Mus musculus: one gene and its partner. The protein of the gene in region 1 purifies or fractionates together with the protein of each later gene. This does not show direct contact. Links are inferred from orthologs where the notes say so. Each region holds a gene or a part of one and is shown in the gene's direction. Other genes may lie near its edges.

The links.
Region 2: the proteins of Dusp2 (region 1) and Mapk1 purify together in Homo sapiens (affinity purification with mass spectrometry; 4 studies listed by BioGRID and IntAct, with this or other methods). This does not show direct contact. The link is inferred for Mus musculus from reciprocal best matches to the Homo sapiens genes DUSP2 and MAPK1.

Annotation. Positions count from the first base shown.
Region 1 is NC_000068.7:127,334,033-127,339,858, forward strand, and holds Dusp2 (dual specificity protein phosphatase 2), read left to right. Parts: upstream 1-2,126; 5' UTR 2,127-2,205; coding exon 2,206-2,605; intron 2,606-2,744; coding exon 2,745-2,866; intron 2,867-3,216; coding exon 3,217-3,436; intron 3,437-3,548; coding exon 3,549-3,763; 3' UTR 3,764-4,345; downstream 4,346-5,826. UniProt on the Homo sapiens protein: Dephosphorylates both phosphorylated Thr and Tyr residues in MAPK1, and dephosphorylation of phosphotyrosine is slightly faster than that of phosphothreonine. Can dephosphorylate MAPK1.
Region 2 is NC_000082.6:17,013,510-17,017,881, forward strand, and holds part of Mapk1 (mitogen-activated protein kinase 1), read left to right. Parts: intron 1-2,388; coding exon 2,389-2,571; intron 2,572-4,372. UniProt on the Homo sapiens protein: Serine/threonine kinase which acts as an essential component of the MAP kinase signal transduction pathway. MAPK1/ERK2 and MAPK3/ERK1 are the 2 MAPKs which play an important role in the MAPK/ERK cascade.

The DNA of each region.
Region 1 (5,826 bases):
CCAGCGAATGGTTCTGGACAAACAGGGTCCTGAGGAGGTAGCAAGGGGTGGCAGACAACCTACAGATGACTCATTGGTGGCGGCATTGGGGGGTGGGGATCTTCAGTCAGAACAGGAGCTGGGGAGGGATGTGGGCTCTTCTACCCCAGCCTTGGACTTTCATCAGGTGTTGAAGGTGGGGGTTTCCCCCTGATTTGGGACTCCAGCAGAAGATGAAGGCAAGCTCCTCTTTTATGGTTCAGTTTGGCTTCTTTGAGTTCATCTGTGTTTGTCAGAGCTGAAAAGGGTACCACGCCAAGGACAGTGGCTTTGGGGTGTATGTGTGACAGATCCGCATTGGCTCATATGCAAAGACTGAGGCACCCAGCAGACTCTGAGGGACACACTCTCACCCTGCCAGGGGGCCCAGCAGCTCAGTTCAGCACTGGAGTCAGGGGCTGGAGTTTCCCACAAAGCTAAGTTGATTTCACTCCTGCTGCAGGGACCTCAGCTAGCAGGGCCTCCCCTCTTCTCCACAGCTGGAAGGCTGTGGCTCCAGGCATGGCAGGTGACTCTGTTCAGCAAGACTAGACATGATGGTCCCCCTCCATGCTCTGTAATTTGTCCCTGGAATCAGCCATTAAGTCATCTGTGAGGCTGATGCCAAGGATAAGAGCCCCCTATCAGCTTCAGGGATCTATGGTCCAGACTCCCTGGCTGGGCTGCCAGTTGTGCTGTATCAGCCTCCAGACAGGCTTGGTGGGAAGGGACCCAGGCTGTGGCCCTGGAACCAACTTGCATGACCGTGCCACTGAGACACAAGTCCATGACTCCTGGTCCAGGAGTCCTCGTAGCTCTCCCTGGCATTCTGTATCCCCCACAAGCCCCAAGTTCCCCAAATCAAGAGGAAAGGCATAATATTTTGCTCGAGCACCTATATACCTACCATACCTTATGTTAGGGGTCCCCACAGGTTCTAGCCACAGGCCTCCAAGAAACAAAGGATCTGCAGGGATGCTGGAAGGGTCTTAGTAAAGGCAGAGGATTGGCTCAGGGCAATAAAGATTTGGGAGGCTGGGTTCTGAACACTGTCCCCACCCGCCTGCTTCAGTTCAGCCACCTACCAACTTTCTCGCCCCCAACGCAGGAGTGTCCCGGGGGGCCCACGTGCAGCTGGGCCTCACCACATCCGGGAGGGGGGGGCGGGCAGGCACTTGAGTGGGGGAGCACAGAATGGCTGTGAGTTACCCAGTTTTTCATTCTTACAGTTTGGTGTGGGACCAGGGCCTGTCCCAGAGGGGTTTGTAGCTCCTAAGGGGTCGGAAGGGAACAGGTTCTGTGAATAGTCCTTCTTCCCCTGAAATTCCCGCCAGGCCTGGCTATGCCCTGGGAGAGCCCAGCATCGTCAACAGAGTTCCTCTTTAGCCCTGGCCTGTGGCATGGGAACTACTTCTTTTTAGGCTCTTGGGGGTTTCCCTGGGCCCCTGGGGAAAGAAACTGTCCCAGTCATAAGAGGAAACTCGTCACAGGCCCCTGCGCCCCTTCCCCATTAAAGCCCCTCCCACCCCACCCCACCCCCGCCCCTGCCCCAGGGCTTTGGCTTTCCAGGACTCCTCCACCTGGGCCTGGGCCTGACATGGGAGAATAGGACAATTTCCTGACGGTTGGTGTCTTTCCTAATAGTGTATCATTATGGGTAGCAACAGGTAATTTGTCCATTTTTGCTATCGAAATTCCTAGAATGAAAACCCTGGGAGAAAATGGGAAAAGTGAGGAAGCTGAAGACCTGAGTAACTCAAAGGCTCGGTGCAGCTGAGAGCTGAGTTCCTAAGCACTTAGTGGCTTGAAGCCTGGCAAAGAGTGGGGAGCACTGGGGCATATACACTGGAGAGACGTGGGTGGGGCCTCTAGACTCCAGGCCGACACTTGTCACGGTCTGGTTCCCAGTTTCTTCCCCCGCGTGTCCCTCCCCCTGATGCCCCGCCCCACCCACCCCCTGTCCGCTCAGGGAGCCCCGGGGGCGGCCCAGCCAGAGTCCCACGTGAAGCCGCGGGGGCGGGCACCGGCGCCTTCCTGCTCTACCCTTGTATGGTGACCCGAGGGGCCAGCCCTCGAGTATTTAAGCCCGGGCTCGACGAAGAGCCCCCAGAACCGTCAGCTCCCGCCACACAGACACCGCGCCGCCGGAGCCGAGGGAGAGGACATCCGGAAGCAGGAGGCTTTGCGATGCCGATCGCCATGGGGCTGGAGACGGCGTGCGAGCTAGAGTGCGCGGCGCTGGGCGCGCTGCTGCGGGAGCCGCGGGAGGCCGAGCGCACGCTGCTGCTCGACTGCCGCCCGTTCCTGGCCTTCTGCCGGAGCCACGTGCGCGCCGCGCGACCGGTGCCCTGGAACGCGCTGCTGCGGCGGCGTGCGCGCGGCACCCCCGCCGCTGCCCTCGCCTGTCTGTTGCCCGACCGCGCACTCCGGGCGCGCCTGGGCCGCGGGGAGCTGGCCCGTGCCGTGGTGCTGGATGAAAGCAGCGCGTCTGTGGCCGAGCTCCCGCCGGACGGCCCCGCTCACCTGCTGCTAGCCGCACTGCAGCACGAGATGCGCGGGGGACCCACGACCGTGTGCTTCTTGCGAGGTGAGCCCGCGCCCCGCGCCCTGCGCCCTTCGCCCCTTCTCCCATGTTCCGCGCCCCGCGCTCTTAGCCCCTTGTCCCACGTTCCGTGCCCCGTTCCCGACCTCTTGGCTAATCATACCCTTTCTTGTCTTTCCCACAGGCGGTTTCAAAAGCTTCCAGACGTACTGTCCGGATCTGTGCTCTGAAGCTCCTGCCCAGGCCCTGCCTCCTGCTGGGGCCGAAAATAGCAACTCTGACCCGAGGGTTCCGATCTATGACCAGGTGAGTTGATATTCGAATTTGTTGTCTTCATTGTGCATTCTAGAGGGATGCCTCTGGAGAACGCCAGTGGGGAAAGACAGGGGTGTGTTCCAATATACATTCCCAGATGTGGAGAGTGTTTGTGTGACCTGCAAATGGTGTGAACGTGTATATATCCTCATACAGACTTTAAGGCATATGTGGCACAAAGTGTCTGAACATATGTCCCCTTGTGGCCTCAAGACTTTTAATTCTGTCCTTGGTCAGAAGGCCTAGAGCTTCTCTTGTTTCTAGCCAATCCAAGATGTCTGGATCAAGCCCTCCAGCACAAGGCTGAGTGAGGTCTCACCACCGTCCCCTTCCTCCTCCAGGGTGGTCCTGTGGAAATCTTGCCCTACCTGTACTTGGGCAGCTGCAACCACTCCTCAGATCTTCAGGGCCTGCAGGCCTGCGGCATCACAGCAGTTCTCAATGTCTCTGCCAGCTGCCCCAACCACTTTGAGGGTCTTTTCCATTACAAGAGCATTCCAGTAGAAGATAACCAGATGGTGGAGATAAGTGCCTGGTTCCAGGAGGCTATCAGCTTCATAGGTAGGGGAGCCTCAGCCCAGGGTTCTGTGGGAACTGTAGGGGAGAAGGTACAGGCACCTGATTCCTCTGTCCACCTTCCTGTCTGACTCTCGGCTCCACATTTCTTTTTCAGACTCGGTGAAGAATAGTGGGGGCCGGGTGCTGGTGCACTGCCAAGCTGGCATCTCTCGCTCAGCCACCATCTGCCTGGCATACCTGATTCAGAGCCACCGGGTACGGCTGGACGAGGCCTTTGACTTTGTTAAGCAACGTCGGGGAGTCATCTCCCCCAACTTCAGTTTCATGGGGCAGCTGCTACAGCTGGAGACCCAGGTGCTGTGTCACTGAGGCAAAGCCCAGCCTGGCCCCACCCACAGCTCTGGCTTTGACTGACTCCTGGGGGAAGCTGCTGTGGCCCAGCTCCTCCCTCCTCATCTTGCCGTCCCACTGGGGTGCTAGGAAATCCAGGATGACGGCTGCTCTGATATGGTGCTCTTCTGAGGTGGCATAAGGGCTGGCCCTTATTTGCTCTCCCTCCTTCGACTTGCAGAAATTAATTTAATTAATTAATTTACTATATTAAAGCCCTTGGTCACCCAAGGGCTCAGAAAACAAGCTGTGACAAGCAGAAACCATGTCTAGGGGTGTGCAGCCCTTGACCCAAAGCTTAAGCCTTGTGCTCCCAGGGGAGCCAGGAAGTGACGTGTGTGTCATGTTACGGACATCTGACTTTTGTGTGTGTGTGTGTGGGCATCTCGCTGTAATTGGTGCTGAAAAGTTATTTGTGTTCAACTGACATTTAACGCTCTCTCCCCAACTTCCTCCCGGCCCTGTGGGCCAGGGAGGGGCGTTGGAAACAGCACTTTATATTTATATAGAACATTGAGGTTGTGTCAATAAAAACAGTGTTTTGTTTAAAAAAGAGCAGTACCACATTGTCTGGTCTCAAGTCTGTGCCTGCGATGGCTGAGTGGTCTGCCTTGGCCTGGGCTGGCCTGGGCTGGCCTGGGCTGGCCTGGGCTGGCCTGGGCTGGGCTCTTTCCCATACAGGTTCTAGCCTGTGGTTGAACTGGGAGGGTTAGGAAGGCCGAGGTCGGCCTCAGCCTCACAGCGGCTCTGTGCATCCCTGATCAGACCCCACATTTACCTAGTGTGTGGTGTGCAGGTATGTGTTGACTGAGGGCATTTAGATCAGAGGGCACTGGCTCCCTGGATGAAGGGTGCATAACCTACCCCTGGCGCCCATTTTCTCTGCTCTGGGTAAAGCACTCAAGAGCTAGGGTTGTTCTGAGCCTTCCTCAGGAATTGTATCAGTTTTTTTTTTTTAATGAATTATTTGGAAATCTCACATCAAGCACCCTGATTGTGCTCACCTCCCAGTTTTCCCACATCTGCTCCCTCCCCTCCCCAGGATGTTCTGCCCCCCCAAAAGGAAAAGGTAAGTCCATTTTGTTTTGTCCATATATTCACTGGAACATGGTTGAATTCTTAGTGGCCCACAGGGAGGAGGAGGAGGAGTCTTTCTTAGCCTTTCTCCATACCAGAAGCCATCAACTGAGGAAGAGCCAGTGAGGGGCGGGGCCAGCTCTCCCACACCCACACCCACAGACTTTAACGTGTTTTCAGGCAGCCTGCCTTAGTGGTAACCACAGGCATCAAGTGGGCTGGCCATATCAGAGCCACTAACCTATTCATGGCTCACAGCAGCTGTCCCTGGGCAGGTGCTACAACATGGCCTCAGGTGGCTACAAATGCCGCTCGCAACAACATGCTTCCACCTGAGCCCCCCTCCCCACCCACCCCAGGCAGCAAAGCCCAGGGACGTCAAATCATTAGTCAGAGGCACAGACTTGCATCTCCATCCTGGGGCAGCAACATGGACTATAGATACCAACATGACTTCCTGAACCTTTAAGGTGGTCTAATCCAGAAAGCAAACCTTTCTTCATCTTGGGCTTCCATGGTTGCTCAGAGCTAGCGGGATTTCAAGGCCAGGCAGAAGGTCTGGGGAGCTGAGTCTGCATCAGCATAAGCTCCAGGCTGCCATTCTGCCAACCTTCCTGGGCAATGACAGCGTGTCCACCAGCCCTCTCTCATCCGTCACCACCATCAATCACATCTCCAGTTTCGCCTTTCTCCGTAGCACACACACACTGCTTAGTTTTTCTATGTTCCCCACTATTCATCTTATATCTGTTTATTGTACTGGTGCCCGCCTGTACCAGGCCATGAGGCAGGCAACCCTACCAGTTTCTATTGGGACCTGTGGACTTGATGCCCAGCTCAGGGTGGACACCTGCGTCCCAGAGTCATTAACCTTTCATTATCTTATACATAGCATGGCTGGTTGCTGGCGGTCCCATTAGACCTATTCCTTGCCCTTCTGTGTTTCTAACATCTTACCTGCCTAG
Region 2 (4,372 bases), on another chromosome or scaffold:
CCACTTGAAAGTCTCTGCATTGCCTGCTAGCTACCTACTACAGAAAGAAGTTTCTCTTCTAAGCTTGACTGAAGCATTGAGAATTAAGGGTATCAATATATTTAAAAGGCAGTTTAATAACAGCAAGATATTAGTAGATGTTGAGTTAACAGAATTAGGAAAGGGAGTTAGTATACATATAATTTTCCTGGCCATGGACTCTTTGACTAGATTTATAGCACCAGACACAGCTCTTCTGTAGAGCAGGCCTCAAACCTAATCCAGGAGTTGTGCTCTGAACTGAACTTGAACCTTCTGGAAGAACATTATGAACTTTTAACCACTGAGCCATGTCTCTACCCCACCCACTGCATTTTGAGGCAGGTTCTCTCAGTGGCTGTCCTGGAACTTGCAATATATAGACCAGACTGGCCTCAAACTCAAAGATAATGCTGGGATGATTGATGTGCGCCATCAGGACAGATGCTCTAGGTAGGCTCTCTTTGCCTTTTCTTTTTAATTGTATTTTATTTATATGCATATGAGTGTTTTGCCTGCATGTATGTCTGCCTGTATTAACAGGATCAGGCCACACTCTGAGCAGAGTCAGAAAGTGAGGGTGGAAGAAGATGGTGTCACACTTTCAATAAAGAAGTCAGTTTGGTTATTTCACTATCAAGTCGGGTGATACAGTAGAAGGCCACACTGATGCTTAATTCTTTTCTAACAGCACTTTTTTAGATAAGCCCATTGTGGTGCCCATACCTTTAATCCTAGCTCTTGAGGCAGAGGTACCTGATCTGAGTTCCAGAACAGTCATAGCAAGAAAGACCCTGCCATAAAAATAAACAAATGAAAACCAGTCCTGGTAGATTATAATTTTGTAAAGCAAACCAGATTTGACTAATGTGTTCTATAAAAAATAAGAATTTATAATGTCAAATTTCTTCTGGCCAGTGTTTTACAAGTTTCCTTTTACTTAATTTTAACTTTTACCATGCTGAAGGATCAAATTCCAGGGCTTTATGCTGCTACCAGGCAGCTTTCTAGCACAGAGCCAACAATCCCAAACCTGTTTTAACTGTAAACTCGCTCTTGTTACGATTATCAAAGGGGGTGTTTATCTTTAAAAGTAGATCCCAATATTGAGTACACTTGCCTAAACTATACAAGCTTTTGCTTGCCTCCTCATGAACCACTGCTTTGGGCCCTCGTCTACCAAACCAAGGAAAATAATGTTTAAATGGTCATCCTGTTTAAGAACTGTGTATCATTTCAAAGTGCTTTGGGACAGCACAGCCTGTAATAGCATTGTGAGATGGTTGCAGCCACTGACAAGTCTACTCCTAAAACAGACTTTTACACTCAGTCAGAGGCATCAGTAGTGATGTCAGTAAATACCATTTCATTTTTTTAAGCACTTAGTAAGGAAACAAGGAAATATTTTATTGCTTGCCAGTATTTTTAGTGCTTTAGTCACTGGTCAGTTGTTGACATTAATATAAAATGCTTTTGTAGAAAATATTTAGGTAAATTGTTGGCCCATGACCTCCTCCCCCCAAAAAAAGATAGTAGTTATATTTAAACTTTTAAACCATCCTAAAATTAAAAGCAAGATTTTGCTTCCTTCTTTTCGGATTATGTAGTTGGGTCTTAAGTATAGCTTGGAAAAAACTCCCATCCTATGGCTGTGAAGGTTACTTTGTAGATTTTGTTAGAAAATTATCCTAGTAACAACCAGAAATAGACCTGTGTTTTGCTTATAAGAAAGTTGGTAATTGGGCTGGAGAGATGGCTGCTCTTGTCCCAGGTTCTATTTCCAGCACCCATATGGCAGCTAGCAACTGCCTGGAACTCTAGTTCCAAAGGATCTGATGCTTGCCAAAGCCACTGTACACATGAGGTGTACAGATAGTGTGCAGACAAAACATCCATACACATAAAATACAATTTAGAGGCGGAGAAAGAGGTTGATAAAGGGCAGTAAAGCTTTCTAAAACTGTTGTTTGTTTGTTTTTTTAGGGATAAAGATGTGGTTGGTGGTATTTGGTGTTTCTGCTGTGTCAGAGAATTCAGTAACAACTATGGATAGTTGTTTTGGAGGCAGAAATGGCATTTTCATCAAAGTGTTATCTGCTCTTTAAGACAGTAGGAAAATGTGGTGGTTTCCTGTGTCAGGTTTATAGAAGTGGGCATTCGTCTCGTGAACAGGCCATGCAGCTCTTAAATGTCAGGTTCAGCATCTGCTGCTACTTTACATCTGCTGCTTCCATAGGTATCAACTAATTATCAACACAGATGTGACAGATGTTAAAACTTCAATACTTTACAAGTTTGTGTTCCTTCTACAAAGTAATTCAGTGAGCTATTTTTAATTTTCATATACATACTTTCTTTTTTTTTTTTTAGCTCTGCTTATGATAATCTCAACAAAGTTCGAGTTGCTATCAAGAAAATCAGTCCTTTTGAGCACCAGACCTACTGTCAAAGAACCCTAAGAGAGATAAAAATCTTACTGCGCTTCAGACATGAGAACATCATTGGCATCAATGACATCATCCGGGCACCAACCATTGAGCAAATGAAAGATGTGTATCCTTTTCTAAAGTTAGCTGCTGCCACTGCTGCTTGGTCACTTTGTAGAGTAAATAACTTGGAATCAAGAAAAAGTGCACAGAGGGTTTTTTTGTTGTTTCTGTTTTGTTTGTTTTTGTGTGTGTGTGGGGGGGGGGTGTTTGGCTGTTTGGTTGGTTGGTTGGGGTTTTTTCAGACAGGGTTTCTCTGTATAGCCCTGGCTGTTCTGGAACTCACTCTGTAGACCAGGCTGGCCTCAAACTCAGAAATCTACCTGCCTCTGTCTCCTGAGTGCTGGGATTAAAGGCATGCGCCACTATTGCCCAGCTTGCACAAAGAGTTTTTTAATCACTCTTCCCGTATATGTAAAAGTATGCTAAGAGGAGATTATAATGTTTGCGCTTACCTAGTATTTAAAGGATTTTTTTTTTTTTAAGATTTATTTATTTATTATATGTAATTACACTGTAGCTGTCTTCAGACACTCCAGAAGAGGGCATCAGATCTTGTTACAGATGGCTGTGAGCCACCATGTGGTTGCTGGGATTTGAACTCTGGACCTTCAGAAGAACAGTCGGGTGCTCTTACCCACTGAGCCATCTCACCAGCCCCAAAGGATTTTTTTTTAATTTTATCTTTTTTCTTGTAACTAGTTTTAATATGCTTTCTATAAGTTAAGTGTTTGTCAGTTTCTGTATAGTTTTCTTTAATCTTAGTTTTGGAAAGTTGATTCATGTAATTTCCAATCCCATGATGACTGTTATGATAGTGAAAAGGGAGTCAAACAAGCTTTCACAACAGGACGTAGGTACTCTAGTAGATGTACACTTGACCAGATCAGTGTCTTCCAGACAGTCCTAGTGTGCTCCTCTTTCAGCCTCAGCTTCCTTATCTTTAAAGTAACTGGGTCGAGCACAGTGATGCACTTTAATCCCAGCACTTGGGAGGTGGTAGCAGGTGGATATCTAAGCTCGAGGCCAACCTGGTTTACAAAGAGTTCCAGGAAAGCCAGGGCCTCACAGAGAAATCCCGTCTCAAACAAAACAAAAATAAAAAATAGAATAGACTGGACCTCAAGGTCTTGAAGACCAGATCAATTCTGATACATGTAATTGTAGCCAGCATTAGATATCAGTGGTGAGCTGGTCTAGAAGAGTCCACCTCCTAGGACCTGTAGGAACAGCAGCTCCATGTTTCTAGGCAGCTTTTGTCTTTGTAAGCATGTCTGTTAGTAAGTGGGGTGGTGTTGCAAGGGAAAGCCTCCTGCTGCTGCACGTGTTGCTCTTGTTACCTTTTGTCAGAGAAGAACACCTTTTATAAATAAGGTTTGCTTAATTCAAGCATGGGACTGATCTCATTTAGCCTGTAGAAAATAGAATAGTATTTATGCGTAAAAATAAATGCAAAAATTCCCCTAATAAAACATCATTATAGTAATGTTAAAAGCAAAAGGTTACTACAGTTTAATTTTCATAAGAAATAATGTGGCTTAGCTGAAGTTTTAGGTGCTTAGGCAGTGGAGGTTAAAGAGCAGAACCTATTATCATCAACTTCTTTACACACCTTATGGTCTTACAATACATATGCAGAATTTAGAGAATGAGGAAGAAAGGCAGAGATTGGACTCAGTGGCGATGCTATTTCTAGGCCAGTACTTCTGGGTTGGTCTGTGAGGATATTGGTGACAAGAAGCAAAGAAAACAGTGCAATACAATTACACATTGCTTCTGGGCCAAAGAGATGGGTGTTGTTTGTTGGCTACCATGCCCTTTAAGCTTTGGAGGAAATTGGTTAATAGTGGACAGTTTGGAGAACAGAG